Linked DNA regions of Rhinolophus ferrumequinum. The protein of the gene in region 1 purifies or fractionates together with the protein of each later gene. This does not show direct contact. Links are inferred from orthologs where the notes say so. Each region holds a gene or a part of one and is shown on either strand. Other genes may lie near its edges. The genes, in order: SNRNP70, SNRPD3, ARGLU1 and CDC5L.

Region 1 (8,105 bases):
GACAAACTGGGTGGCAACAACTGAGGTCTTACAAAGTTGGATGGCCATGTCCCAGGAAGAAAACATCCAAAGGAGACCAGGTTGGTGGGGAGAGAAAATCCTGACTGTGCTTTGAACAGTCTGAGATGCTTTTGGGGCCTTGGAGAAAGGACAGGAAGGCAGTTGCACTAACAGCCTGGGGCCAGAGAACTCTAGGCTAGATGCTCAGGTACTTAGGTGTCAGACATTTATCTAAGTGTCCTGAGGAAATGTACCACTCCAGGGAGTAAGGTTCAGAGTGAAGTGATTCACCATAACCTCAGGGGTGTAGAAAGTAAACCCAAGTTTTTTAACTAGGAAGCCCTTGCTCTAACAACACAGGATCATTTAAGGTTGCAAAATCTGGTTAATTGCTATAAGTATGGGTCACTGCTCCCAATTCCTCCTGTGCCTGGAAGGAATGGAACAGTGAGCTAAGGTGGAGCCAGGACTGCCTCACTGCCGGGACCTCACTGCCTTAGCCTGTGAGACCCAGCTGGGCTGTGGCAGCCCCTCCAACCGCACGCCCCTGCAGTACGTAGCCCAAGTACCACCGCTCTCCCTTCCTGCCAATCCTAACTCCGCACTCTCCAGCTTAAATGCCTAAACCAAACAGAGCTTGGCAAACGGTGAGGGCTAAAAAGTGAACTGACCACCCCACTTTCCGAAAATAGGGAGGGACCTGGGGTTGACTTGGGGGAGAGAAACACAAGAGGGTTTGAAGAAGAAATCTGAGAGAATGAGAGAGAGACTTACACATTTTTAACTCTGTCTCCACTTCCTGCTGTCGCCGCTCAATCTTTTCCCGCCTCTGTCAGGAGATAGACAATTCAATGCAGATGGAAGTGCCCTGATGTCAAGGAACGTTCTTGAGAAGTGGCAAAAAAGACAGGGCCAGGAGGCAAAATATTACATACCTTTCTCTCCATGCGTTCCTCCCGAGTTTCTGCTCGTGTGGGAGGAGGGGCATCTCGAGGGTCCTGGGAACAAGAGGAGAGATGACATGGAGGGAGTGACTGGGGAAATGGCAAGGGACACCTACCCATCCAGGAAATAAGCATCTCAGCCATGTACCACTCCCATACACACACAAATAAGCAAACAAACAAGGACAGTTCCCAGGCCAGTGGAGGCGGGGGAGTGGTGAAGACCAAAGCACGGTCCATGGACCAATGCTATCAGCAAACTGTCACTGGTCTGCGACAAAAGTAGTACAGAAATCGGTAGTAAGTAGTATTCGGAAACTTCTACAGCAATGTGATGAGAGTTTTTATACCTGTAAAACTTGATAAAAATTTTATCTTCTATTTTGTAGTCTTTGAAAATGCTAGAAAAATGAAAATAATTCCTTTGTGTTTATCAAGAGCACCAATCTGCAATAGATTTGTCCTTTATCACAGATCAAATTCAGGACTAGGCCTGAAGTGAAAGGAGCCAACAGTGCAGTGCTCAAAAGCAGACAACTGGACACCCTCTGAGGGCCAACGCAGTTCCTGAAGGTCACCAACCACTCATTAAATAGTAACTGGCACATGGCTCATATCACCGAAGGGTGTCACTAGCCTGTAGCCATTAAATTAGTGTAACTGGCTACTAACATTACCTAAGTGCTGGTTCACTGAGGATGGCAAATCCTACTAGAGAGCCAATCTTCTATTATCTATGAACTTCTGCTATGCGACTTTCTTCACCTCCAGCTGCCCATTCCCCCTCAATGCCAGAACTTCCTTCTTCCGACTTCTGGCTGTGTGCCAGCATTTCTCAGGTGTGCTCTGATGCACCTTAAGAGGTGGATGTTGTTATCCCCCGTTTACGAATAAAAAAAACTGAGGCCCAGGAACCTAAGTCGTGTAGTCATGTTTATCCAGAGGGAGCCGAGCTGAAGTTCGGCAGTCCTGTGGCCTTAAGCGCCCTATCACACAGTGCTAACCGTTCATGAATGTCACCAAATTAATATCAGAAACATAACAATAACATCAATATTTGCTGACAGCCAAGCCCCATAACATATATCTTGCAGTTAAATACCCATCATGAGAAAAATAATATTATCCCCTTGCTAAGAATGAAAAAATCAATGCACTAAGAGGATACACCACTTGCCCAAGGTCACACAGCTGATAAATGGTGTGTGCGAGCCAAGGGATCACCTAACTCCAGAGTCTGAATCCTCAACTGCTAGTTAACTGAATTTTCACAAAAACCCAACAAGGGATCTATTATCAACTCCATTTACGACAGACAAACTAAGGATCATAAAGAATAAATCACGTGCCTAAGTCACACAGCTAGAAAACCGCCAGATACTGGAATCCCAAATCCAGAACAGCCTCCCCAAGACCCCCAGAACGCAAACCACTCCAAGTCTGCTCAGTGAACTCACCTCAAACTCTCGGATGTAGGGTGCAATGCCACAGTAAGGTTGATTGTGGTGTTTTTCATGTGGCAGTTTCTCCAGGGGTGGCAGGTATGGGATGGGGTCACGGGGCGCAAAGAGGGCCAGAAGGTTGGGCGGCAGGAACTGAGTCATCTTGCCAAGTCTGAGAACAGAAGCGAACCAGCCTTATGTTAGGATGGGCTGGTAGAGATGAGCTCCTATAATCCCTTATTCCCAAGAAAAGAGGGAAATGGGGTAAAGTCTTCGTATTAAAATAGGTTCTGTAAGGGCACGGCGTAATCCTACGTCACTAGGAAAAAAAGTAAATGTGAATGAGAAAGCAAGTTCTTGGAAGAGGGCTGTGTGTGGGTGGGGCAAGTCCCGTAAGGGAAACAAAGACTGAAAAAGGTTTCTAGGTAGTCTCAGCGTCCTGAGCCAGGAACTGTGGAGCTGAGAGGTCCCCTGGGGGATTATAGGAAAAACAAGGATCCTGACAGCGGTCCAGAGCAGTAGCGGCTGGTGGTCCCATACCTTGGAGAACAAGGCGAGGATCGCAGGAGGTCTCTGATCAACGGGAGAGGGTCATAATTAGCAAACCCCTAAAGCCAAGGGCTTGTGGGTAATAGATCTTGCCCCCCCCAAAGGCGAAAGGAATTATGGGTAAGGGTCCAGGACTCAGCGGCGACAGGAAAAAGGCAACGCATCGCAAGGGCCTGTGGGTAAGGGACCACGGGAGCGCTATGGGAGGAGGGCCTAAATGCCCAAGGTTCTAGCTAGGTAACGGGGTACAAAAAGGTGCTGTGGCGGTAGCGCGGGAAGTGGGCCCGGTTGAGGGAAAGAGACCGGGGCCCACCGCGGGGACTTGTGGGTAGCAGCCCCGCACCCGGTAAGGCCACTCAGTCACACTCACCCGCCGCGCGGCGCCCTCCTCGACCTGACGACGGTCCGAGGGCTCGCGGCGGCTGCGGCGGCCCCTCAGCAGAAGGGACTCCTGCTCTGGCTTGGACTCCAGCGGCGTCCGCGCTCTCCTGCCTCCGCCGCCAGCTCAGCGCGCGCACCAGGCCGCTGCTCAGGAGCCCGCGCGGCCTCGGTTGGCGACAGGGGCAAAAGGTGGAACCAGCCTCAAATCCCTCCGCCGCGCGCACTGCGCACGCGCCGCGCGAGACAAGCCCCTGCCCACACTCACGGACCGGTCGCAGCTGTGGGCACTGCGCACGCGCGAGATCACTGCCCCGCCTTCCGGCACCTTAAATTCTTGCCGCGGCCGGCTGGAGCTCGCAGTACGCACGCGCGCTTTTCACCAAGCATTGCGCCTCGGCCTCGCGCTCTGTACTCCAACTGCCTGTGTCCGCGAGACTTTACTCGGTACCCCGCCCCTTTCCCCAAACACACTTCCCCGAGTCTTGTGCGCATGCGTGAATCGTTATGTACCGTGTGTACCCTTCCGCTGCCTGGCAAAAAGTCCGCATGTGACTAGTATGATTACTTAGATGCCTAACCCTTAAAATCAATAATTGCTCACCGAGCGCCTAATGTATGCTAGGCATTGTTTGAACTTCGGGAATATAGCACGTGGCTAAAGCAAAGCCTTGTCCTCTTGGAGCTTACATTGTACTGGGGGAGACAATAAAGGCATTTAAAAGAGTAAATATAATTTCGGATAATGGCCTGCACAATAAAGAAAAATAGGGCAGTGTAAGTGGATGGGCAATGAGAGCAGGGCTATTTTAGAGAGGTTGTTAATGGAAGGCCCTTCTGACGAGATGACATTTGAACAAAGGCCCTGTGGAAGGGAGACCTGGGCGGGACTAACAGCAAGTGCAAAGGCCCTGATTTAAGGACAACTGGCAGAAATCCCACTTTGTGGACCTTGAGATCAGAGAGCTGGCAGCTGTGTTATTTAGGGCCCTGTATACCTGCAAAGAGTTCAATATTGTATTTTAAGGTTTTTTTTGAATAGATTCAATTGCCTGTTTAATGATAATTACAGAAAATTATTACAAAATTTAAGTGACCAATTTCATGTTTCAAGAAACGAGTAATATAAGAGCACATTCTTTCAAAAATATTTTGACATATTTGCTTTATGTATGTATGTGGGAACTCTGCACTATTTTTTGGAGCTTTACTGTAATTCTAAAATTATTTCAAAATAAAATTTAAAGAAAATAAACAAAGCTAAATGCCTTAATAATGTATTTTTTTTCTGTACCATTTGAAAGGAAATTGCTGAGGCACTTCACCTCTAAATGCTTCAGTATATGTCTTCTAAGAATATGGCCAATTCTCCTACATAACCACAAAATTACTTTCACCCCTAAGAAAGTTTTCCCAACTGACCCAAGAATATTTTGTTTTGATCCAAACCAGGAGCCAGTCAAGGTTCACACATTGCATTAGTTGTCATATCTCCTTGTTTTAATATAGAATAGATCCACACACGCACACACACTTTTTTCCCCATTATGTTGGTTTTTCCCAGAGGTCAGACTAGTTTCCAGTTAAATGTCCCATAATCTAGATTTGTCTGATTGTTTCCTTCTATTGTTTAGTTTGTTGCACGCCCCCGGCTTTGCCTATACAACGGACATTGAGTCTGAAGGTTTGAATAGACTGAAGCATTTTTGGCAAGAACATTTTCCTGGTGCTACTTCAGAAGTCATATTGTATCAGATCTGGAGGTTCATAATGTCAAATGGTTCCCCTATTAGGATGCTGAGTTTGGTCACCTCGTCAAGGATATAACTGCCAGATCTCTCTTTATAAAGGTACATTTTCCCTTTGGTAATCTGAGCAGTGAAGCTTTGCAAATATTCTGTTCCCCAACCATCTCTCACCTCACGATTGTAGCAACCATTGCTGATCCTTGCCTGAATCAAGTATTACATGGGGGAGAGGACAGATTATCGTTGAAATGAAATAGGAAGTAACTAAAGCGTTTTGATCACGAGGACGTAATCTAATATATATATATATATTTAAAGATCACTTTAATGCATTTTTAAAAATGCAGCGAAGGAGCTCAAACAGAAACAGGGAGATAGTTACCATGTTTCCCCGAAAAAAAGACCTAGTTGGACAATCAGCTCTAATGCATCTCCTGGAGCAAAAATTAATATAAGACCTGGTTTTGTATTATATTATATAAGACCCGGTCTTATGTTATAGTAAAATAAGACCGGGTCTTATATTAATGTTTGCTCCAAAAGACTCATTAGAGCTGATTGTCCGGCTAGGTCTTATTTTTGGGGAAACATGGTAGGAGGCTACAATTTCCAGGGAAGAGATGGTGACTTGGACCGAGACAGTAGCAGTGAGGTGGAAAGAAGTGGTGGGATTCGGGATATATTGTGAAAGTAGAGCTCACTTATTCAGTTGCTGTAAGAGTGGGAGTAGAGTGTATAGAAAAGAGAGAAGTCAAAACTAACTCCTAGAGAAAATTAAGGAGACAATCAAATGCAATGTGGAATCCTGGATTAGATTCTGAACCAGAAAAAGAACATCCATGGGAGAGGTGAAATTCGTCAGGTCTACAGTATTATTGGTTAATAGTATTATATCAATTTTAATTTCCTGACAAATAATTGTACTTGGTCATGTAAGAAGTTGACATTGGTGGAAGCTGGGTGAAGGATATATGGGAGCTCTGTACTATTTTTGTAACATTTCTATAAGTCTGAAATCATTTCAGAGTAACAAGTTTAAAGAACAATTTTAAGGGCCGGCCCGGTGGCTCAGGTGGTTGAAGTGCCGGGCTCCTAATGCCGAGGTTGCCAGTTCAATTCCCACATGGGCCAGTGAGCTGCGCCCTCTACAGCTAAGATTGTGAACAAGGCTCTCCCTGGAGCTGGGCTGCTACAGGCTGCAGTGTGCTGCTGGCTACTGACTGCCTCCCGGTGGCGGGGGAGGGAAGCGCAAGGCTTGTAATACCAGCATGTGCCAGAGAGCTGTGTCCTATACAACTAGACTGAGAAACAACGGCTTGAACCAAGTGTGGTGGGGCGGGGCGGGGGGGCAGGAGAAGGGGGAAAAAATGAAGCTAATCTCCCCTTAATAATAGTCCTTAATAATAGACTCACTCCTACATTTGTAGACTGAGCAATTTGGTAATTGATAGTGCTATTTCTCTAGAGATGAGGGAAGGCATAGGGAAGAGTGGGGTTATGGAGGAGGAGTTGTGGGCTTAGACATGTCAGAGAGGCCCATTTGACACTCATATGCAGTTGTGGAGTTGAAAGTTGGGACATACGGTAATTACAGAAGAGTCGGGGGCTGGAAAACCCAGATTTGGGGGTTATTGGAATAAAGATAGTATTTGAAGCCATGCGATCAATGAGCTCACCTAGGAGATGAGAGAAGATAGAGAAGGGGAGAAGTCTGAGCACCGAGTCCCAAGGCCCTCCACCATTTAGAGTTTAGATAAAGCAGGAAGAACCAGCAAAAGAGACTGAGTGGGAGTGATCACGAATTTTGGAGGAAAACTGGGGTAGTGAGGGGTCCAGGAAGCCAAGAAGGAAAATGCTTCAAGGAGGCAGTGTTCAGTGTGTCCAATGCAAAAGGTAAGGACTGAAGTTTGGCAACCATAGGTGACCTTGACAAGACAATGGGAGGGAGGTGAAGGGAAGACCTCAAGTAGGGAAAATTCTTCAGAGAAGTTTTGCTACAAAGAGAGCAGAGAGAGGTGATAAGAGCAGGAGAGGGAAGTAGAGTCAAGGAGGTTTTTTTTTAAGATAGAAAAGATATTAAGATAAAAAGTCTTATGATACATTTGTCTGCTGATGGCAAAAAAAGTTACTTATACACCTATCATGGCCACTCTTAACTACTTACTTATCTTATTCATGAGACCTGGAAACTTATGTCCACACAAAAACATGTACAAGGATTTTTACATCAGCTTTATTCATAATCACCAAAAATGAAATGTAACTTAAATGTCCTTCATAGAGTGAATGGATAAACAGATGGGTGTGTATCCATGCCTTAGAATACAACCGAGAGTTAAGAAAGTTAAGAAAGAAAGACCTACTGATACCACAGGAATGAATCTTCATTTTATTAAGTGAAAGAAGCCAGATTCAAAGGCTATCTACTGCATGGTTTCATTTATTTGACATTCTGGAAAAAACAAAACTACAGGGACAGAGGGAGAGAAAACAGAGCAGTAAGTAGTTTCCATGAGCAGGAAACCGGGGGTGGGGCGGGGTGCAGAGGAGAGCGGTTGACTGACTACAAAGGGAAGGAGGAAACTCTAGGAAAGGGGTGGGACTTTTCTATATTTTGATTCGAGTGGCAGTTACATGTCTGTATACATTTGCCAAGACTCATAGAAATGTACACTATAAAGGGTAAATTTTATTGTATGTAAATTAAACCTTGATAAACTTGACTGAGCACAAAACATGGCTCCCCTAAATAGTCATTAATTACAAGGGGAAAAATACAAACTTTACAATGGAGAAACCCAGCAGACACTACCCTAACCAAGTGATCAAAGTGAACATTACCAATGATAAGACATATCAATATTGTGCCCCCTATATGATGTGATGAGAGGGGAATTTTGTGTCTGTGGCATGCTCCCCCACAGAAAAAACCAACACTATAATCTCAATCTAATCACAGTAAAACACAAAATGAGAGACAGTCTCCAAAATAACTGACCAGTATTCTTCAAAAGCGTTGAGGTGATTAAAGACAAGGAAAAAGT
Region 2 (7,545 bases), on another chromosome or scaffold:
CAATCTTTGCAGCTCTGCTGAGGTTTCCCTTCAAGGGACAACAGGCTGTGAGGAATGCAGGGAGCTGACAAGCTCCAGCTGCCACCTTTGGTATCCACTACAGCATACATACACCCCGAGGCCACTCTCTCCGCAGGCTGCCAGCCAATGACTGGCCACAGCGGGGGTACTAGAGCCAGGCCATTTCTGCCCCATGCTACTCTCCTCAGTTTTGGCATCTACATCACAGAGGACCCAAAGTAACACTATTCCCATTTTACTGATGAGGAAACTGAGGTGATTAACATGGCTATGGTCGTATAATCAGGATTCAAACCAACATGATTCCAAAGCCCAAGCTCTTAACTGATGGTTTAAAGAACAAAGGAGAAAGTGTGCGGATACACTTTGTAATGTTATACAGATTCTTGTGATTATTAAAAGCAAAGTAGTGCCACGGGAAGAACACCACATCAGGAAGCTGCTCCAACATTTATTAGCAGGGTGACATTCACTAGATGAGTCCTTTAATCTTATTCTCCCTATTTTATGGATGACAAAACTCCCACCAAACCCATTTACCTCGAAAGGTAGTTGCTATAATCAAATGAAATTCTTCCCCTCAAGAAAACTGGCAAATAAGCACATTATGTGAGTGTAAGATTTTGCTAACTGCAAAGCATTATGCAAATATGTGGGGGCAAATGGATAATGGTCTGAACCTGAAGGATTCCAACAAAGGGAGCAGTGCCACTTCTCTTAAACAGTCCCCCAAATATGGGACAAAGGACAAAGTTAAATATTCCAAACTTCTGAATGGCTCTTATTCATGCCCATATGCCCGCACCTATACCAGTCTCTGGCACACATTAGGCACTCAGTAAGGAACTGTTCAATGAGAACTTCAAAAAGACCTCCAGTCACCATCTTTCTGTCCCGCAAGACAGAGACACAAGCTTTCTCCAGTCTCATGTACAAAGCAGGATACCTGGCAGTTCATGTTGTCTTCCGCCTCAATGAGCTTCCCACGGTACACCTCACCAGTGTTTGTCTCACACGTCACAATGTGACCCTCCGCCTCATGTAGAACTTTAATCGGCACACCAATAGACATCTTGGCAGGAAGAGAGTTCTACAGTGGGAGAGACAACAGTTAGTTCATCTTTCAGGGCCTGAGAAGGCATGTGGCACATACCATGCCTCCCTTAAGGCCTGACACTCCATAAAACTTAGCAAAGATGTCTCAGCTGCATTTTCTACAAAAAAAGCTTAACATCTAGCTTGAGGTACCTATCTGAAAAAATACATGGAACATGTGGGGTGGGGAGGAATGGAAGCCCGGGTAGAGGGAAATCTAATGGGAATGAAAAGTACCTTCCATCTTCCTCCCTGCTATCCTATGTCCCTTTATCTTCACCAAATAACCATCAATCAATTCTGTGTGTTTGGGGGCAAGGGGGGTGGCATGCATTACCTTACAATGTATTTGTCAACCCAGAGCTGTAGGTGACACCATTTTGAGAACCCATGATATAAACCCGAGCTGTCCAAGACAGCAATCACTGTCCACATGTAGCCATTTAAATTAAACTTAATTAAAATGAAATAAAATTTAAAAAACTCAGTCCCTCAGTCATATTAGCAACATTTCAAGTGCTCAATGGCCACATGTGGCTAGTGTTGGGCATACATATATACAGTATTACTAAGCACTGCTCATATAGACCAAAGGATGCAGGCAAATCTGGAAGAGGTTGTGTATTTAATTTAACCCATTCTATGCCCTTTGACCCTCCACTTCACCATCAAGGCTAAAGAGAAAATATCAAAGTGTTCACAGAGTGACAATGTGCTAGAAGCAGGAAATGCTTTTATTGGAAGAGAAACAATCAGGGCAAGCGCCTGGCTTGACCTAATTGAACGAGACAAGTGAAGGGTTTTTTAACTCCAAAATGAACAACGACTAAAGGCTGGAAAGCACCATGTGTGTTCAAGAAAGGAAAAGGAACACGAGGTTGGGAAAAACACGCCGGCTCCCTTGGAGAGGAGCCTTAGGAGTGTGGATTTTAGGCTGAAAACAGCGAAGGACCACTGCAAGATTATATGTAAGGAATAATCCAACAAAAAGGTAGCAGCACTTATAAAATGGATCAAACACAGTTAAGAAGCAGGGGAACGTGATAAAACTTCTGTACCAGTGTGGAAAGCACGGGGCACCAGCGCCTGAATGGAGGATGGAGGCAATCAGTCAGAAATGATTTCAAGACTATTGCCTGCACACTTCGAAAAACAGACCTGGAGAGGTATAGAAAATGAAGAGCATGTACTTTGGGGAAAAGCTAATAAACTCACTTCCAGGCGCTAGTGAGGCGACGCTGATGTTTGGGTGGCCCAGGCTTCCCGCTCTTCTCCCTCCCCGAGCCACGCAGAGCTCCATGGCTGTGCGTCCTCCAGCCCCCGGCCCCTCACGGGTGTCTCGGCCTACCCTCGCCTGCCCCTGGCCTTTCCTCACCGGTTCCGGTCTCCTCTTCCTTTCCCGCGCGGCTGCGGTGTCTCAGGCGACTCCGACGGCGTGAGGCGAGCGAATGGCGGATTCCGCTCTCCCAGAATACCATGCGTTCCCAAAATGCCGCGCGCAGAACCCGACCCCTTCCTTTTCCTAGTGGTGAGAGCGATCTCGCCTCCGCCTCCTCCTCACCCCGCCGGCTAGGAAACGTGGGCTCTGGTACGATCGTTCCGGCCCCAGAAAAGAGGGTTGATGATGGGGCCCAGGTGCCACCCGAAATACCGACCTTCAGCCCGTCAAGGGAAGAGGGGAACTCGCGGTTCCAAGCACCCCCCACCAGGGACGGGCTGGATCCAAGGGCGGAGATCTAGGGTCTGGGCCGTCGGATCGGGGGCAGCAGGCGGTAGGGCCGAAGGCTAGGATCTCCCCTCACAATTTAACCTTTGGAACCCGGCACTGCCAGGTAAGTGCGACCTGAGCAAGGCGACGAATTTCACCATACGGATAGGGAAACTGAGGTATAGAGAAGAGGGGGTGCCGGCCCAGGGATTCGGAGTAGGGTTAGGTCTCCCGAAGCCCAACGATTTATGCCACAGGACCAGGCCTTGGACCTGAGGCTGACAAAGAAGCGGGTGTGAGTAGAGGTGGAGCTTGCTAAGGGGAAGAGCCTCTGGGGAGCCAATGTTCGCTGGACTACAGGGTTTCGGGGCGGGGCTCAGAGAGGGGCGGGGCTCCCCGGGAACGGAGGCGGAGAAGGGCCTGTGCGTCTGCGCGAGAACTGGGAAAGGGGCGGGGTCACCAAAAGCCAAGGCTGCGACTGGCCCGGGCGGGCTTAGATCAGGAGGCGGGGGGCCTCTAGTAATAGGACGAGGGATGGGAAAGGGGTGGCCTCTTTGGAGGCCCAGGGAAGGGGAGGAGCTTATGGAAGGGGCGGGGTCCCAGGATCTGAGGCCTGGAGGGGCCGGGGCGGGGCTTGGGGAGGCTCTGCCACCGCCTCTTCTTCTCCCCACCGCGCTGGCGGTGGAGGTGGCGGTGGAGGAGCCTTACACGTTCCGGTCCCACTCCCGCCCCAGCCGAAGCTACAGCCGGCGCCAGGCCGGGGCCATGGGCGCCCCGCGCCGCCCGGGTCATGAGGACGGAGGCGGAGGCAGCGGGGTCGCCGCTCGAGCCCGGTTAGTGCCTCCCTGAGGGCCCAGCCCTCACTCGGGAACGAGGGGTACTCCCACCCCTCCACAGCGCGGGGCAGGGTCCGGCCGCGCGCGCGACCTTGGGCCGACCGCCGCCTCCGGCGAGGCTATAGAGCTTCCAGCGAAACTTGGCCAGGTGTACGCAGCCGCCTTGGTTCCCTACCCTCCAGCCCCTGTCAGTTGGGGTTTCCTGATACTCCCAGGGCTGAGACCCCAGTCAGCTCTGGTAGCGGTCATGGTGGGGAGGGTCCCAGCGTGTGAGGCTGGGGCGCCACCTTCCCCAGAAGCAAAAAGTCCTGCTGGAGTCGCCTTGGGAGATCCTGACCCCTGGGGAAACCAAGGCCTAGAAGCGCAAGGAACTGCTGAGAGCACAGAGCAATGGGAGGGCCCTTACCTGGCCTCCCGGACTCAGCGTTTTGTCCTGTACAGTTCTTCACCCTCTGGTTCCTTCTGCGCCGAGGTGGCCTGAGTTCCTTTGGGGTGGAAACCAAGACTGACATTCAGTGTCACGGTCTTCAGTTTGCTTCTCTAGGTGGGGGAGGGGGAAAGGAGTGATTTCTTCTCTGCTTAAGGCACAGGGTTGATGAGAACGAGACAGTGGTAGTGGTAGTACTACCGTAGTAAACTCTGAAGTGAGTTGCCAACTCATGGGAGAGGACAAGAGCGAGCGCGTGGGAACCTGACACTAACGCCTCAGTGGAACCACAGTGTCACCCGAGGAAGTGGTCTCTTGCGTTTGCAGCAAGGAGTACCGTCTAATGCTACCCTGGGATTTGCATCCTACTCCAACTCTGTGATGTCGGACCAGGCGCTTGCTTTTCCTGAGCCTCAGTGTCAGTGGAGTAATGGCTCACCTTCACAGAGAGCTTTCTCTAGCAGGCACTGTGCTGTGTTTTACATGCAGTGCCTCGTTAATCCTCATCACCACCCCATGAAGAAGGCTGCCTTGTGATTTTCACTTTTATGGATGAGCTGACTGAGGCTGAGAGGGGTTAAGTACTCAGGGCCAGTGAGCTGCGTTCCTTCCTTGGTGACAGCTGCCAACTGAAGCCAGCCAGGGCCTTCTAGGCAGACCCTAGTTCTCACGTGGGACAGTCCCTTTGCTTCAGGCATCAACATCTTGTAGCAGCTTTGGGCTTGGAAGACCTCGCCTACTCTTATCATTCCCCACAGGAGTGTCTGTGGGTCCCTATGGGCAGACCTGCTGGTGCCAAGACTGGGGGCGGCCACAAGGGGATGTTCAGCTCTTCGGGACCTCAGGATCAAGGAGTTTAAAGGATCAGGGCAAGAAGAAAAGGGGCAGCAGAGCTCAGAGCAACTGCCCTGTGCCACATTTACAGCTGGGCATAGGAGAAAGTACAGACAGACTCAAAGCCCAGCTAGTCCATACCAGAGCCTGCGGTACAGAGTAAGGAGGGAGCCATGAACAGGCTGTAGTCTGGAAGCCTGGGGGTGGGAGTGCTGGGCATTGCGGTGACAGGTAGGCCCCTGGCATCTCAAGGGATAAGGCCTTTGGGGAAAAGCATGTTCCAGTCACCAAGCATGTCTGGGTGCCTGCTCTGGGCTGAGGGCTAGGAGGAGGTAAATGCCACCTTGTCCCCACCTACCCCTGAAGAATTCTCCATTTGTCCACTGGGGAATACGGACACCACCTCAAATAATCCATATTGAGGGTCTCAGAGAAGGAAAGGGACCAGAGCATTCGGACGTTTAGAGATGGGAGACAACGTTCCAAATTAAGGGATATATAAGAGGAAAGGCTGGGGAATAAACAGCCTGTGTAGAGAAAAACACAAAGGCCGTTTATGTCCACAGGGAATTCTTGAAAAGGGAGGCACCCCACCATGGGGGGACAATACCCTGCATAGAGCTCTCCTCCACTCAGCCCATTGGGGGGAATTATTTTAGAGTATGAATCCCTGGAGGGCAGGGTTTGGATCTTAGTCACACAGTGTCCCCAGATCCTAACACACGGTGGGTGCTCAACAAGTTCATTTCTTCCAACAAATGTTGAATTACTACTAAGCATCAGACACCAGGCACTGGGAATACCAGTGAACGAGATTAGCAAATTCTCTGCCCTCAGGAAGCTTCCAGGCTAGTGGGGAGACAGAAGAGCCTGATCGACTGACTGACTTTTGCTAAGTACTGTGAGGGAAACAAACAGCATGCTGTGACGGCGGGCTCCCTCACTCTGAAGATGTAGCCAGAAAAAGCATTTCTGAAGAGGAGACTTTGAGCTGAGACCGAAATGACCATCAGGGGAAGCCTTAAGAACAGCAAGGGAAAGAGAGTTCCAGGTAGAGAGAGCTGTATGTGCAAAGGCCCTGGAGTGGAATGAAGCTCGATGGGTGCCCAGAGTAACAGGAACAGGGTAAATGAGGGGTAAAGGCAAAGATGAGGCTGGTAGGTCCTGCTTGGGCAGGGCCTGCAGGCTATGGTAAATTGTGAGAACTTTATCCTAAGAGCAGTGGGACGCTATGGATGGCATCCCTCTGGCTTCTGTGTACAGAGATGGCAGAGGAGCTGAGGTGGAATTTGGAGAAGACAGGCAAAGGTCAGGCGGGAGTAAGCCCTCAGCACTGAATCCATGGCAATGGGAGGAGGAGAATGTGTGAAGGCCTTGAATGAAGTGCCTGGGTTCCTTTTAAAGGCACCTGGGGTCGGGGGAAGGAGGGAACAAAGCCTCAGCCAGGCCTGGACTCAGTGTGCCGGGCCCCCTCCCAGCTGGATGGAGGCAGGGTTCACATCAGCACCCACAAAGGGCTCTACACACCTCCTTGCCCTGAGCGCTCCCACCACCTTGCTGGCTGGTGTCTGTGATGGTGCATTTCATAAAGGCGGAAGCAGGCTCAGGGAAGTCAGGTGCCTCTCAGGTGACTCAGCCAGTGGGTGGCCTGCCCTCGCCCATGCCATCCTGCCTCCCACGCTGCTGCGTGCCCTTGAGGGTGAGGAGTCTGGAGAGAGAGACCAGTACCATGCAGCAAAGGAGCCGCCACAGGTCACTGCCTCTTAGGAATGTACAACGGCCCAGAAGGGCACAGACAAGCTCGGTGCCAGGGTCCCCTCTGGGAGGCAAAGTGTGAACTCAGGCCTGGCGGAGTGCCGATGAAGGAAAGGGCGTGGCTTTTTCAGAGATGGCCCCGAAGTGGTGGCATCTGTGCCAGGCCGTGAGGGCGGGGGCGGATTTAGACACAGGAGAGTAGGAGCACGGGACTCCTTTTAAGAAGGCACTGCCCAGACGAGGCCAGTAGGTCGGAAGGCGAGGATGGCCTCCAGGGCTAATGCGTGGCCCTCATGCTGGGGGCATGCAGTGGGGGGCAGGCAGGCTCCCGGGACGGCTCTGCACCGGCTGGTCTTGGGTTCAAGAAAGGCCCCAGAGACCTGAGGTGAGGAAACAATGTGGGCAGGCTTTTCATGTCCTGAATGGGTGTCATGAGCGAGCAGTGAGTGGTGGTGACTACTGAAGGGAAGTTCCTCCTGGTCCTTTAGACTCTGAACTTTGTCCAGATTCATGGAAGGGCAGAGTGGGAGGGTCCTGCCGGCGCCGCCAGCTCGCCCCTGCCTCAGGCCCTCAGTGCACGCTGTTCTCCCTCTGCCTTGCGCTCTCTACCTCTTGCCTCTCTAAGGCACACCCCCACCGTTTCCCCTAGCCTAAGCCCCCGGTTTTTCTCTTAAACTTGCTTGTTTTCAGTGTTTGCCAGGACAGGGACCTGTCACTCACTGCTGTATCTCTCGTAAACATGCCAGGCACTTGCTAGGCCCTTGGAAAATATTTGTTGATTGAATGACTGAATCAGACCAAAGTCCCCAACTTTAGAGATGGCCAGACTCAGTCCAGTAAGAGGAAGTCAGTTGCTCAGCCCACAGCTG
Region 3 (7,658 bases), on another chromosome or scaffold:
AAGGTACACTTGACAATAGGCATTCTTCTGGTACCTTTTCTCTGCTTCTACCATGTGCTGGTCTTCCTCCATCCAATTGTGAATAGGAACATTCCCTAAGGTTCTTTCAGTCCCTGGAACCAACTGCTCTTCTCTACCCACTCTCCCTGGGTCATTCTGTCTACTCTCAAGGTTTGCCCCAGGCTTGTCCCCCATACCAACCTTAGGTAAACTCCAAAAAATTAGTGTTCACAGTGGAAATTCCCTTTGAATTTCCCCTCTCCCCTATCCACTGGGTTTCTGACATTTTAACCAGTGTCTGACACATAGTAGTTACTTAAACATTTGATGGCTGAGATGTAATAGCCACAATATAAAAACATGAGAGCTAATATTAATGCTTTTTGTCCCTTGTTTCACATCCAATTTTATTTGTTCTAAACGGTTTGTACATCTTTTCCTCTTTTCCATTCTAACTACTGCTCCCACATTACTCCTGTATAGACTTAATGTAAATGTAACGAGTTCTATCCTTATACAGAGGGTAAGTTAAAAAAAAAAAAAAGCTCCCACATTTACCTGCTTAAATTAAAGCCTTTCCTGTTTTTAGGATGAAATCCAAGCTCCTTAATATGGCATACAACATCTTCCCATGATTCCCAGCCTCTATTTTACGTCCCTAATAACTCCGTGACATTAATGCTTGTAGTACTTCCTATTTCAATAACATTCATCTTTTTACCATTCTGCCCCTCCTCCCTTTATTCAGGCAGGGGTAGAGGGGACTCTCCTTTGGTCCACATACGAATATATATCCTCCTATGCCTAAGTTGGACAGTCTCTTCTTTTATCTGTGACCCACTTAAGAGAACAGGTATTTTACCCATCCAAGATGCTTCCTTTCTACTCACATCACCGTCACTGAATCACACTGGAATTAGTACTTACCTACCTATCTGTATCTATCTTCAAGCTAGATCAAGATCTTGGAGAGGGTTCCAATCATCTTTCTATTAACAGCACCTAGCACAGCGCCTGGCACATTAAATGCTCAATAAATATTAGGTGAATGAACTAACCAACAGGGATTTGCAGACATATGACTTCTTCCAATTCTCATGGCTCATGGCTCCAAAACCTAGGTCTTTCCATTGTTTCCTTTGCATTATTTCTAAGGCATTAGACCCACATTAAATAGTGCCTGCTGCAGAGCATACAGAAATTCAATGTACAGGTAGGTGGCTGTTAGCTCTGCCCCCTCCCTCCTTGGTAAGTACTAATGGTAGTTTGCCTTTTCTATCACTTGGAACTACGTAGCTGCTCTATTCTCTCATTTTCATCCCTGGATTTCTTCTCTGCTCTCAATGTGCAGCTTGCTAAATGGCTCTAATTATTCTCCACATACCACATTTCCTTTCACTTTTCCTACAAGGCTTAGCTTTCTAGTGAATGGCAAATCATCACTCTTTGGAGGGCTCCTTTGTTTTCACATGGAAAAATTATCTCAGAGATATCTTATTTTTTTTTTAAATGTCCATCTGTTGGTAGTTATTTGAGAGCAACATCTTTTAAGTTAATCTTATTCCAGACCAAAACAACTGGATTCTATGTAATAATGGTTTGTTGTGAAACTACTTGTACTTCGTGTGTGTGTGTGTGTGTAATTGACATTTCTAAGGAAAGATGCAAGTGTTGTGCATGTTTTAAAGGGATGCAGCAAAACACCTCTCCAGGTATTGCTTCCACTATAACATTTATTAGTTAGTGCTCCTGTCTCCTACCTCTTAATAACTTTGCTCTTAGAAACAAACTGCTGGAAAGCCTACAGAGTACAAACCTAACTGCAGAAAAAATTTACACCCCTAGATAATTCAGTACACATATATTTATCTCAGGAAAATTCTAAATTCAGTTTTTCCAGCCTCATGAGCAATTTCTAAACATGCAATGAAGAACTGAGGAAGATAGTGGTTAAATAGGGGAAGTGCACACGTTTGTCTAACCCTATCTTTCAATAGGTCTGTGAGGAAGGAATATTCAGAGCAGAGTACCATAGTCTTAAACCAAACACTACATTTTAAACTCAAAAGTTCATTAGTTTGGAATTATTTACACCTACTTTTGAGAGGTGGCTCTTTCCAGAAATACATTTTACCCAAACAGTATGTCAAACTGGGAACCTGTGACTCTGATTTTCCTTACATAGAAGTCTGCATGTAAAAAACACAAAAATAAAAGCGAATGTTCAAGTGTCTAAGTATACAAGGGGGAACGAGTATCAGGATTGCACCGAAGTTTGCTACAGAAGACTATAATCAATATTAATTAAAAGTAAAATGAGTAGGCTTTGGGATGGTGGTTAGCAAGGTGAATTCAAGCGTCAAAACTCATCGTACTGTACACTTAAGGTTTGTGCATTTCGTTTTTACGCCTCTAAAAACAAAACAAAACTGAGGAGACCCGAGAAAACTGACCGAGACATAATTTTAACAGGAATACATTAAAATGCATTTTTGGGTATATACTGTCGGAGCACCTCAAGTGCCTTATTCCTGAGAAGCCCAGTCCCCAATTCAAGCCGCAACACAAGAACACTCTGGCCAGCTGCGATTTGCATCCCACCGCTTAATTCCTTTCTGCTCTTCTCCAGCGGGCCTGCAAACACTCTCCAGACACGTCTTCAGACTGGCTAATTCTTCGCCCCTTGGCCGACGCAGCTCTCCAACCCACTCCGAACTCCACCCCCTACTTCCGGCACTCTCCTCCCCTCTCGCGCCAAAATCGCTTTCTCCCCGCTAAACCTTTCCAGCTCAAGCTCCACGATTTCCCTTCCCAACCAACTCGTGGGTCTGTCCTGCCCGAGGCTTTCCACACACCCGTGCCGCAGCCTCTCGCGCGGGTTCCCGCGTCCCCATTCCCCTCTCTCCCCGCCCCCCCCAGCTTGCCTCCCGGCCCCCGCCCCTCCCCCGCGGGCGCTCACATTTTTCGCTGCCGCTCGAACTCCGCTTTCTTCTCCTCCTCCTCTCGCTTCTGCTTCTCGTCCAGGCTGCTGCGCTTGCTCACCGTGCGCCCGAAGATGTCGATGCGGTCCGGCGGGGACGAGGCGCGCTCCCGGTCCCGCTCGCGCCGGGATACGGCCGTGTTAGTGGAACGCGAGCGGGACCGCGACTCCCGCCGCCGGTTCCGTTTACTTTCCCGGGATTTGGAGCGCTTCCGCACGCGCTCCTTGTCCCGGGAACGCGACCGGGACCGGCTCCGCTTCTTGTTGTGTTTGCTGCTCTTGGTGTGTTTGGAGCGGGACGAGCTCCGGCTCCGAGACCGGCCCATCCTTCCGGGGGACGCTGTGACTAACCGCTGGCCTCGGGCCCCGCACGCGCCTGGCTGCTCTCGCCTCCACCTCCAGACGCAGGCTGCCCGTCCTGTTGAAGCTGGGGGCAGGAAAACTGTCAGCCAGCTGATTTTCTGTCACTCTCTGAGGTAGACCGCCGCCACGAAGGCCACCTCCGACGAGCAGGCCGCAACACCAGGAGTTGCTAAGATGGCAGCCGGGGCTGCACCGGCCGCCCTTCCCACAATGCCACGCGCGGAACGCGCCGTCGCGCGAGCCCCGCCCCCGACGATCCTTGCCGAAGGCGAGGCGAGCGCTTCCGAACGCGGTCGGCTCCTTCCGCCAGTCTCCGCGCCAGCCTGCGGCGTGGGAGCTGGAGTCCCTCGTTTCTGCTTTAGTGCATTTTGCTTTCTGGTAGGATGTTTGGTGCGAACGAAGTCTTGCCTCGTCACGAACTGACTGCTTCATTTTCTAGGAGCTGCTTTTGTCAGGCAGACTTAAATTATGTCAGAGTGACCCTGACCAGATCACTTGCCTCTCTGCTTAGCTTGCTCATTTGTGCAATGGAGATAACCACATTTTATGAGGTGGTTGTGAAGCTTACAAGAGATAAAGTAGGCTTTGATAAGTGGAAGCCAATGCTTAACGTAGGGCTTCATGTGCCAGGCGTTGTTTTAAGTGCATTGCATTTATTAACTGGCGTTTTAATTCTCATTTTAGTGATGGGGACGCTAAGGTCAGAGGGTAAAGAAGTTGCGCGGTCACACAGCTAGCAGGTGGCAGAGCAGAAGTGTGTATGTTGCAAAGCCCCTGCACATAACTGATAAGCCCAACAAATCTTAGCCAGGACAGCTGTGACCCTATATGGTACAACAAACTATTGCTGTCAAGCCCCCAAAATAAAAGACGGCATTACTATTCATAGATGATAGGAAACCTTGAAAATCTAGGTGCCTCAATCTTAAAACTGAGTTCAGTAAAAGGCTGGAATGATGCCCAGCTAATGTTAAAGACAGTTATTTCCAGTTAGTTGGTATATGGTTTCCTGGAACACCACAAACTGGTGGTATACAGTAACAGGAACTTCCTCACTTAACAGTTCTGGAGTCCAGAAGTCCAAAATAAAAGATGTCAGCAAGGTTGGTTCTTTAGGAGTCTCTGAGGGAGAATCTGTTCCATGCATCTCTTAACTTCTGGTGGTTGCTGGCAATCCTTGGCATTCCTCGACGTCCCCTGGTTTCCAATCTAGTCTCTGTATTCCCATGGCAGTTACTGTGTCTGTCCTTTTTGTGTAGTGATTCTGATGATTAAATTAGGACCCACCCTCATCATTTTGACCTCATCTTTCTTAATTACATCTGCAAAGACCTTATTTCCAAATAAAGTTACATGTCCGAGTCACATGAATTTTGGGGGGGATACTGTTTAATCAACTACAGTTGAATCTTTTTAAAACCTTTTTTTTCTTAGTATTTTTCTGCATGTCGTTAATTCTTTATAATAAGTATGTGGTATTTTACAAAACTAATAAAGGGATTTTTTGCATCATAACAGGAACAAAAACTAAGATGGTTAGAAGTCTAAATATATTCAGATGCTTAAAATATCATTAAAAAATATAATCATTTAGGAAATTAGAATAAGTGACTATGAAGCAATGGCTCTGCCAGAGATTCTCATATAGTGCTTGGGGCCCAGAACCTCCATTTCTAATAAGTACCCCACATGATTCTCTTGTATGCATTTCACCAACCATAGTTTGAGAAACACTGGTATAAATAAATAAGTTAATATGTTTATCTATGTAAATAAAAGACAATTTTGAGAGAAAATACTTGGCAATATTTAGCAAAAAGGCATTGATATCGTTAGTATATAAAAAGTTCCTAATAACCAATAAGAGAAATAGAAACAACTCAACAGAAAAATGAGCAAAGGGTATAAATAAGCCATTCACAGAAAAAAAATACAACTGATTAAAAAAACCTGTTAAAAGAATCTAAATCTCACTAATAACCAGGTAAATGCAAATTTAAATAGCAATTATTTGTGTGTGTTTTCCTGTAATTGACAATTACTTTAAAAATTATAAATAAAGTGTTAGTAAGGTGAAGAAGAGAGGTGTTGATGACAAACACCCATATATACTGTTAATAGTTTATTACAACCTTTTTAGGGTGTAATTTGAACATGTCTATCAACATTTTAACTTTTTATAACCCTTGACCCATCATTCTCACTTCCAAGACTTTGTCCCACAGATAAAACACCACAATACTTATGATATAACAATACAAGGTGTGATAAAAAAAAATACGATGAATGCTCCTGCCGAGTGCCATCCAACTTTCAGAAAGGCAGGAATCTTCAATATGGGAAGTGGCGTGTCAAACCTTAGTAACAGTTTGTGACAAGTTCAACTTGTTCGGTGCAGTCAGTTGGGTATGAGCTAAGGTTGAGAGAAGGTGAGTTTTAAAGTGTGCCATAAATCATCCTCCATCATGACAATGCTCCGTGTCACACATTGCTTCTGGTATATGGCAATTTCTGTCAAATAAAAACATTTCGGTGTGTCCTCATCCACCTTGTACACCGGATCTGGCACCATGCGACTTCTGGCTCTTCCCCAAAGTCAAAATGACCCTGAAAGGTAAATGTTTTGAATCGATTCAGGACATCGAGGCATCCACGACAGTGCAACTAAAGACACGAAAGAGGACTTCCAGAACTGCTTCAGAAAGTGGCAAGAATGATGGGATAAGCGTGTTTGAAGCAAGGGGGAGTATTTTGAGGGGGATTAATGGCAATGTGTCTTTTACCATAATAATCTTCTTTTAATTTAAACATTCGCCATACTTTTTGTACATACCTCGTATATAAGACTATTTATCTCAGCATTGGTTGAATGGCAGATAATTGAAAACAATCTAAATGTTAATGGTCCAGCAATACAGATCTATATGGACTGATGTGCAAAGATGTCCTCAGTATAATTATGGCTAGTAGGTGAAAAAGGAAAGTTGTAGAATTGTAGATCGCAATCTCATTTTTGTTTCCAAAAGCATATTTGTGTGTTTATATTTATCTATGTGAATGATAGCTACACATTACATAGAAAGATCTAGAATTGGAGGAATGAACTGGGAAGCTTAGCCTAAAGTTGCTTACAAAGCAAATAATCTTTTTATTTGAATTCTATGTATACTGGGGTTGGCTCTAAGATAACTTACAGAACTTTTAAAAGAGGATGCTATTTATCCACCTCAAGCCATGTCTTCTTGCTCACCCTAAAAAAAAAACACACAGACAAACAAACAAAAAAAACCTGGAAAACAAAGGTGCATCAAAATCCAAGGCCCCGAATTAGGAGGGATTACCTCTGAGGATGCAGTAAAGGAATAAGGGACACAAACATTCCGTGCCTCCACTTTATAATTATCAAAATCTCGGCATTCCACACTCCCTGAATTTGTCTTTTTTTTTTTCAAATGAATTTACTTGTGTATTGATTATCTTCTGCCACTGGAATCCAGTTCTAGAGATCTTGGTGGTTTTGTGTTCATTGAAACTACTGGGTTGGCATGCTAACCTCGATAAACGTACACTGACTGAATAAGATTTGAGTGGCTTTTATTTTGAGTATGAGTTTGGTTTTATTTCTGTTGTTTTGTTTTTAGACGGTTTAAATTTCCTGTTGCCTCCTCTTTTCCATTCTCTTCTCCCATTAAGTGTTTCCTCAGTTCATCTCTGAATAATTACAATAGCCAAATGTAAATAACATATCATTCAAAAACAGATCATTCTAAAGAACAATCTTCTAATGTAAAAAATACCCAGGAGATGGAATATCTTTCCTACTTATTCTTAAATTACCAATCCTCAACCAACTTTTCAGAATTTGAGATGTATCCTGTAACATGTTGATGAAGCATCATTTATTTGGGTCATAAATACTAAGTGCCTATTTTGTGCAAATACTGCGCTAGTTGCTCATAGATTTATACCTACGCTTAACATATAGGTGGAGCCCGTGGGCACCAGGTTCCAATCTCCCCATAGCTCATTTATCAACCAATCAGTCTTTCTTGTTTCTTAGAAAATCATCTCCCTAACCCTTTCCTGAGCTAAACCCCATTCATCGCCATCCTTCCCTACCCCATTCAAGTCCTTGCCCCTCAGCAAGTTAGTTCTCATTGGCAGCACTTTTTGCATTTGTGATTTTTAAAGAAATGTTAGTTATTTAATATTCATCACTCGTGAAAAGGTGAACTTCTTGAGGGGTGGGGAGAGGAGTGCCCATGTCTGATTTGTTCATTTCTGTTTTTCTGTCTTGGGCCTAGTACCTTGCACA
Region 4 (8,041 bases), on another chromosome or scaffold:
TGCTTTTGCTCTTAGGCATTTGGACCTCAAAAGGTAGGTAGGTAAAAGCCTTGTTTACAGGATTTGACTCGGTGAAGTATTTTAGAGTTGGAACTCTTCAAGATCATGACACTGGCCCAAAGAGGCTTTTCTTTCCTGGCTGGAAAATCAGGAGAGCGTGATATCTCAGCAATGTGCCAACTATGGTATGGTGCACCTTTTAGGGGGGCTGCTGGCCAAGTTCCCAGTGGGCTTTGGGAAAGGATATGGGAACCGGTTTGAGATGCCTGGTTCCTTTCAATGCTGGGAAACGCAAGGAGGGGTTATAGCCTGAGCCCACCCTGGAGCGTGTGGCAGCCACTGCTGAATTGAGGAGCCAGCATCGAAGCTTCCAAACCTGGGCTTTGTGAGAAACACGTACATGCCAAGTGAACACTTCTTGTTCATGAAGGAACCCAGCCTCAGATCAAATAAGAAGCCTAATATCCCGGGGACTTGTTTTCTGAGGAACTATGGCTGCCTCTCCAAATATGGAGAGGGTGTGGGGGGCCGCTTCTGGTGGTGATGGGGGTGAGCCTGGGTGTGATCATCTGGCTAGAAATGTGTTCTTTTGGTCGGGTGCAGTGTGGGCTGGAGTAAAAATTGGGGTTCCCTTAGAAAGGGAGGACAGAATGGATGCATGAGGCGTAACTATACTAAAATTATTTGTTGTTTACCTGAAATTCAAATGTAAGTGGGAGTTCGATATTTTTATTTGCTAAATCTGGCAACTTACAGCAGAGGTGGCACAAAGGAGAGGGATTTGAGGGCTACGTAGGAGGCAAGAGGTAAAAGTGGCAAGACTCTACATGGGATGGCTTGGATATGGGTGGAGGAAGGTATGGGAGGAGGAAAAGTGGCAGCAAGATGGATGTTGGTGCTGTCGACAGGGTAACATGTAGAGTCTACCCCTGTGGTATCTTTATACACTTCGAGAAAGATGTCCTCTTGGTGAACACAGTCCCACAATGTACCACTTGAGCAGTGTGCAAACTGGATTTCAGCTCCATTTGTCCCTTGTGCAGTGAACTACTTAAACCCCCGTACACGGCAGCTGGCAGCCTTCTGCTATTCACTGAAATAAGGAATCCCGTGGAGAAGTATAGATTTTCTGGGGGAAGTTCAATTTTGGGAAGTTGAAATTGAGGAGCCTGTGACTCACACAGGAAGAACCGTCCAGAATTTTGTTGGGCATTTAAGTCTGGGGTCTGGTATATGCATGTGAAAAAAAAAAAGTCTCTTGTGAGAAATGTAAATCCCAAGTCTGTGCCATGTGGATGCAGGGTCTAAATATAAATTACCCGACTGGAATATTAATCCTAAAATGAGAAATGAGCTCAAAAAGACCCTTGAACCTCTGGGGCCTGAGAAAAAAAATAAATTCTCTTTGGGAACACTTCCCCACCTGAGGGCACAGGGGACTCCCTAGAAATAACACTCATGAAGATGAGCTTCTGAGAAAAAAATTACAAACTACAGCTGGACCTACCACAGGGAAGTCTCAGTAGGTGAACCTCAAGCCAATTAGTATGATTAACCATGGTTAGCAATACAATGTGAATTACCAGCATTTAGGGTGCATGGGATTCCATTTTGTAATAACTTGACACCCAGACATTAATTTTTTCCAACACTAGCTGAGGAATTTCTAAATGGGAGGGAGGGGCTTAGGGATGGCAGTCTGGTAGATGGGGTAGGGCTAGAAGACTGTTTTGAAACTGTGTTTGCAAAGCAGCACAGTGTTTCTAGTTAAATTCCACCTGTTTATTTGGGGAGATGACGAAGATTATGGGAGTGGCTAATCCCAGCCCCTAACCATGCCTTGTTATCATAGGCTTTTGACCCTTTTTTTTTTAGCCCTTTTCTGGACAGTTTCTTGATGCAAAAAACAGGATGAAACAGAAACTAGAATTTTGATTGTTTTCTCTAATAAGCAAAGTTAGCCCAGTCAGAACCAGCTTCCCAAAAAGGGATGTGGGGTGGGGGATAATGCAACCTACAAAACCCTCCTGCTAACATCTCTTGTTACCTCTTTGTAAGCTGGATGGACCTCCAACCTCTTTCCCCTGGGCCAGAATTTCCCAAATTGTGTTTCCTGCATGTCAATAGCTACTATAAGAAAAAAGTTTTCCAGGGTCAAATTCGTTTGGAAAAGCCATATTAAAAAGGGAGGGTAGTGGTTTCCTAGGGCTGCCATAACAAAGTACCACAAACTGGGTGGCTTAAAATGAGAAATTTATTCTCTCACACACTATTTTGGAGGCTGGAAGTCTGAAATCAAGGTGTCAGTCAGGTTGGTTCCTTCTTGGGGGCTCAGAGGGAGAATATATTCCATGCCTCTCTCTTAAGCTTCTGGTGTTGCTGGCAATCCTTGGTGTTCCTTGGCTTGTAGATTCATCACTCCAACCTCTGCCTCCTTTACAAACTGTTTTCCCTGTGTGTCCACATCGCTTCTTTTTATAAGGACACCAGTGATTGGATTAGGGCCCACCTTACTTCAGTATGACTTCATCCTTAGCTTGATTACATCAGTAAAGACTCTATTTCCAAATATGGTCATACATATAGGTACCAGGGATTAGGACTTTGCACATATCTGTTTGGGGGATATAATTCAACCCACAATAGGGAGAAAACGATTTCTTCATCTTATAACTTCTTACAGGCTTTAATTTTGGTGACTCTGTGAAAGGGAGCTGACAGAGCGTACTGCTTTTTTCAAATTCAAGTAATTGTGAAAAATTTGTTTATTTTAATGGAGTATCCCAGTGTTCTGAGGAATATATTTGGGTGAGTGAGGAAGAAGTGGAGGCTCTTTCTCATTAAGCCTCTGTTTAGGAATGACCACTCCCTTTCCTAAAGGTTCACAATGACAGAAGGTACAGTTTGATTTACTGATGGTGACTGTTCCTCATGGCTGCCTTGTAAAAGATTTTTGGCAGCCCCTGGGGTGAGCTGGCCTCTTTGTGGGGGCCCTGAGGTCTGGCTGGGGAGGCTGGGGTGACATGGTGGGTTGGACTGGCCAATCCAGGCCATGCTGGAGGACAGCCTCTGGTGTTCATGGCTATGGGGCGCTGGTTTGAGACATCCCAGAACTGGTACGATGTTGCATTTTCTGAATGCTAACATGGAACATGCAACTTGCATGTTCAGGGAGGCCTTGGGGGATATCTGACAGGGTTGCTCTGTCTGAATGGGCAGGTTGTATAACGCATGCCCCTAGGGGAACCGATTCACATTGTAGATATGGTAGATCTAATTTTCTTATAGTTAAGAATGTCCTGTTCTCAAAACATTAGTATTTTGCGACGGTTTTCCAACAGATGTCAATAAAGTGCCTTGAAGAAAGGGCACCTTTTTCTAGTTGGTATAAAGTTGGTATAAATGGGGTAGAGGCGGTCCTGAGGGGGAAGGAAACACCATCATCATGGTGTTTGATCTGAAATGCTAGATCTGAAATGGCTCTCGAGAGGACTAGATTTGTTAGGAATCGTGCTTACAAATAATAGAAACCCAACTTCAACAGGCTAAAGCCCAAATGGGAACTATTCATTAGAACTCAAAACAGGGATGCATTTAGGACTGTTTTGAGGAACATACTGCATCTAGGGTCTTCTGTGTAGCCAGGACCTACCTGTCTCTCTACACTCCTGTCTTGCTCCTCTTAATGCATCTGGCACCTGCTTTTCCCCCATTTTAGTCTACATCGTACAAAACATGGTGGCTGACAACTCCTGGGTGTCACATATTAAGAGATTCATCAAACCAGCAGAGAGACTGGCCTCTTCTAGGTTCCAGTGTCAAAATTCCTGGGGAGAAGACTTAATTGGCTCAGCTTTGATCAGATAAATCAAACAGCCAGTATGTGCATGCGTGTGTGTGACACTGTAAGCACAGCAACTGAGATGATGTTGGGTGTGGAGAGGGCAGGAGGTAATGATCACACATCCTACAGAGGGTTTCTGGGACAACCACTGATCACGTGGGGTTGCCCTTCTTGTAATGATATGACATTTTGAGTAGTTACCATGTATCAGATACTGTGCTAGGTTTATGATCTCATTTAATCCCTAGGACAACCTTATGAGGTTGGTACTATTATTATCTCTACAGGTTAGGAAATTTCGGCTTAAATAAGCTCTTGCCTTTTCCTGAGTACTCCGTGCATAAATTCCTATGAGTTAAACGCCTAATAAAGTGATAAATTAATAATTTAAAAAGCTCTTTTCCGATCAACTGGGCTGAAACTCCACACGCATGATGTGCCCACTCTCCTCCACTAGGTGACGTCACGGCCAATCCCACCACCACGTTCCTTCTCGCGAAGATCGTGCTTTTCCTCCACCCTTCTTTGGCCGTGCGCGCCGCCTAGTGCGCTTTGGCCAGAGTGGATCGACGGTTTTCTGTTGGTCTTCCTATATTAGAATTTTAACAAGGCACTTTATTTTCCTTGCAGCCACCCGAATTCTCGCGATACTTGCAACTCTGCTTTCCCCCCCCCCCGCCCCGCCTTGCGCCTGCGCAGATCTTTACAAAGGAGAAGGTCGCGCCTGGAGGAAGTGGTGCCTTTGGGTCCCGTGGCCGCAGCGCCGTTACTACTTTTCTGAAGCTCCTCTCGGCCGCTTGCCGAGACACCCCACCGCCAAGATGCCGCGAATTATGATTAAGGGGGGCGTATGGAGGAATACCGAGGTAAGTCTCCTTTTCCCGCCGTCCGCTGCCCTTCGCCCCCTCCGGCAGCTTGTGCGCACGCGCGCGGAGGTGGGCGAGGAGGGGAGGATGCCCTGCGGGGTCTGCGTGGGGGAGGCGCGGGCTGGACCCTCCGGCCTTTCGTTCCCGACCCTGCGTTATCCGAGCACTTCAAGGACGGGGACCGTGATTTAACCACCTGACTACCTGCCAGGCACTTGTTAGGCCCCCCAGTGAACACCTCTTGAATTGAGGACGCGCCCCTCTCGCTGGAGGAACTCAAGAGTATGGAGGGGAAGAAGGGACATCAGCGAGAGTCGGTCTCCTGGGCACTTCCGTGCCTGAGCCCGGACACCGCGCCTCTCTTTGATACTCACAAATAAAGAAGTGCTGTGGCCACAACTTTGTTTCTTCATCGACTTCCTTGCAAAGGGAAATAAGCTTGAGTGCCAGGTTCGAAGAGCCCGTTTATGCCCGCATACCGCTGGTTATCTGTTATCGAGGCATAACTTGCCTGCCCTCCCCACAGGTCCCAAGGCCTGTCTCTTCCTGTCACTCTTCCTCACCCTGGATAGAAGCCAGATGGGATCAACTGACTTCAGTAGTTTCTTTGCTTCCAGAAATGTAGTGGATAGTGCCAGGGGTGAGCCAAAGAGCAGCAGAGACGGAGTAAAATAGAGATAAGGTGTTAGCCCAGTTTGTGTTCCTGAGTGCACCGAATTTGTCAGTTTCTGGAGCACATCGTATCTTTTCATGATCTGTGTCTTTTTATATCTTGTGCTTTCTTTAAATATCCTCCTACTACTTGGCATCTTCCGCCATCCTTCAAAACCTCTTCTTGGAAGTTTTGCCCATTCAGCCTGTAAACATTAGTCGCACCCCAGTGGTCCCATGGCTCTTCTCTCATCCATTTGTTATAGCTTGCTTTGTCCTTTTGCAGGCATCACATCCTTCTAGGTAATGCTGCGTACGTTTTTTTAACTTATCACAACCTCAGTTTTCTCATCTTTCTTATGGGGATCATAATAGCTGTCTCTTGAGGTAGATTAAATGAGTCTATGTATTTGGATCATTTAGAACAGAATCTGGCACATAGTGGTCTTTCCGTAAGTGCTACTTGCTATTTCTTTCCCCCAGCAGACAGCACTGGAAGAGAACCAGATCCCTAGAACCTAGGACAGTAACCAACAGGAAGTAGGTTGCTTGGCAAATGTTAGCAGAATGAATCTAATAGGGTAGATAACTTAGGTGAAGATGTGTTTAACTAGAGCAGTACTGCAACAAAGTTACAAGTAAAGTCAGTGATAACCTTGCATCATTGTACAGAGGGAACCAAGCCATTTAAACTGGAGAAGAGGTGACTTCTGGGGGAGAAACAGATGTACAAAATCAAGTAACAGCAGGACTCCCCTCCAGTGGCTGAAGCCCTGCAGTCTTTTTTAATCTCTGAGGATGGGAAAGTGGAGTGGGGTGGAAGAGCTCATGTGTGAGGCATATAGCTCAAGTTCAATGTGGGAAAAACCCTAAAAGCAAAATGCCCCCAAGTGCGTTCGTCTATGGCTCTGTTATCCCTGTTGTCTTTGGCTTAGCTTGCTGGGCTCCTCTGGGATTGGTTAATTCCATATTGGAATGGGTGCCACGGTGAAATAGTGTCTAGATACTTGGGGAGGTTGGAGGCGGGGGAGAAATTCTTAATTATTAGGTTTGACCTGGGATGTGGATTCTTGGATCAGAGTGGGGGTTATGGAATTGGAGAGAAAATGCCGTTTGTAAACTGGAGGCAGGAAACCTAGATTGGAGAATGGAATCACTAGAGTCTTAACTTGCTACTTGAGGGTTGGATATGTCCAATTCAAAACCTGATATAAGGTAGGTGTTCAGGAAATGTTCTTTGAATGAATGAATGAATAAGTGAATGAGCTGTATAATTTTTGAGGAGAATGAGAGTCATACTTTGGAGAATACGTTTTGTTACCCTCTATCAAGTAGGGTTTCGTAGATTGGGCTTTACCCATCTCAGTTTATTGGGGGTGGAGGGAGAGGCTGTAAAGAAGGGTAGGGTGTCCTGAGAGATGTCTTCTTAGTTTCTTGCATTTTGCTGATTCTGGCTTGCTGTTTATTATGATAGTAAATGAGATTTTTGTACTTTTTTTTTTTTTTTAAAACCTAGGAGGTATGTGTGTCTTTCTCTTTCTTGCTTGCTACCCTGTCAGAGTTAATTTAAATTTTGTCTTTTCTCGCTTGGAGTTTTGTGATTAAATATGTTGTTTTTTTCTGACAATTCTTTAAGGATGAAATTCTGAAAGCAGCGGTAATGAAATATGGGAAAAACCAGTGGTCTAGGATTGCCTCACTGCTGCACAGAAAATCAGCAAAGCAGTGCAAAGCCAGATGGTATGTACCAGTTAATGAATGGAAAACAGAAAAACGACCTTAGTTAAAATGAGGAAAATGTCAGTTCTTTGAAGCTTATAAAAGAAAGCAGGCATTGTGATATAACAGAAAGGATGGAGTGGGAGATGGGGATTTAGATTTAAGACTTAGCTGTCACTTGCTTCCTATGTGATCTTAGGCAAGCTATTTTTCTGCCCTCTCTCCTGTGCCTGTTTTCTTCCAATTGGGTGATAATACATCTTGGCCTTAACTGCTGGAGATACGAGGCTCAAGTGAGTTAATGTGCTAAAGAGTACTTTGTGAAGCATAAAATAATTCTCCTTTTATTTAGAGATGGACTCCAGCTTATAAATCGTGTTCCCAAAGTTTTAAAAGTTGATTAGAACTTACTTTCCCAAAGAAATAAATGATAAATAATGGTTAATTTTCTAGGCTAGTTCACAGTAGTTTTCTCATAATACAGTTGAAATATTGTATATTTGCTCCCCCAAAGTATAACATAACCCAACACTGCACCTGGGGTGTCCTCTTTTAAGTCACAGAGTAGTGGACACACTAAACTTTCATAGGTGTTTGTGGCATGAGTGATCTGGCCCCAGCGCTGACCCATGTGGTACGAGGACCGTATTTTGAATTGTACAAGAATGACCTAATTTCCTAGGTGCCTGGGTAGGGGAAAGGATCAGAATGTAGAGGTTGGACCCCAAAGAAGAAGATGGTCCTGATTTCTGTTTCTCGTAGTGGAGCTAAGCCCCTGTCCTAATGTTTGGTAAGGCTTATATTTTCTTTGCCAGCCTCTCATCTTGCTAAGTAGAATGGGTGGAAAAGGTGGGTCGGGTGGGGTATTAGGAAAGACAGATCATGACGGTAGTTTTGCTTACATGTAAAAACACAGCAAACAAAAGCAGTGAATATTCTGTTGTAAAAAAAGAACAGCTTT

The links.
Region 2: the proteins of SNRNP70 (region 1) and SNRPD3 purify together in Homo sapiens (affinity purification with mass spectrometry; 6 studies listed by BioGRID and IntAct, counting the BioPlex papers as one, with this or other methods). This does not show direct contact. The link is inferred for Rhinolophus ferrumequinum from reciprocal best matches to the Homo sapiens genes SNRNP70 and SNRPD3.
Region 3: the proteins of SNRNP70 (region 1) and ARGLU1 purify together in Homo sapiens (affinity purification with mass spectrometry; 3 studies listed by BioGRID and IntAct, with this or other methods). This does not show direct contact. The link is inferred for Rhinolophus ferrumequinum from reciprocal best matches to the Homo sapiens genes SNRNP70 and ARGLU1.
Region 4: the proteins of SNRNP70 (region 1) and CDC5L purify together in Homo sapiens (affinity purification with mass spectrometry; 3 studies listed by BioGRID and IntAct, counting the BioPlex papers as one, with this or other methods). This does not show direct contact. The link is inferred for Rhinolophus ferrumequinum from reciprocal best matches to the Homo sapiens genes SNRNP70 and CDC5L.

What each region holds. Positions count from the first base shown.
Region 1 is NC_046298.1:44,386,861-44,394,965, reverse strand, and holds the start of SNRNP70 (U1 small nuclear ribonucleoprotein 70 kDa), read right to left. Parts: upstream 3,553-8,105; 5' UTR 3,306-3,552; intron 2,559-3,305; 5' UTR 2,549-2,558; coding exon 2,402-2,548; intron 999-2,401; coding exon 936-998; intron 830-935; coding exon 775-829; intron 1-774. UniProt on the Homo sapiens protein: Component of the spliceosomal U1 snRNP, which is essential for recognition of the pre-mRNA 5' splice-site and the subsequent assembly of the spliceosome. SNRNP70 binds to the loop I region of U1-snRNA.
Region 2 is NC_046308.1:22,250,823-22,258,367, reverse strand, and holds the start of SNRPD3 (small nuclear ribonucleoprotein Sm D3), read right to left. Parts: upstream 3,113-7,545; 5' UTR 2,492-3,112; intron 1,112-2,491; 5' UTR 1,094-1,111; coding exon 968-1,093; intron 1-967. Other genes in the region: protein GUCD1, read left to right, coding at 3,615-3,657. UniProt on the Homo sapiens protein: Plays a role in pre-mRNA splicing as a core component of the spliceosomal U1, U2, U4 and U5 small nuclear ribonucleoproteins (snRNPs), the building blocks of the spliceosome.
Region 3 is NC_046287.1:50,686,345-50,694,002, forward strand, and holds the start of ARGLU1 (arginine and glutamate-rich protein 1), read right to left. Parts: upstream 3,551-7,658; 5' UTR 3,307-3,550; coding exon 2,960-3,306; intron 1-2,959. UniProt on the Homo sapiens protein: Dual function regulator of gene expression; regulator of transcription and modulator of alternative splicing. General coactivator of nuclear receptor-induced gene expression, including genes activated by the glucocorticoid receptor NR3C1.
Region 4 is NC_046286.1:13,593,506-13,601,546, forward strand, and holds the start of CDC5L (cell division cycle 5-like protein), read left to right. Parts: upstream 1-4,546; 5' UTR 4,547-4,665; coding exon 4,666-4,710; intron 4,711-6,997; coding exon 6,998-7,101; intron 7,102-8,041.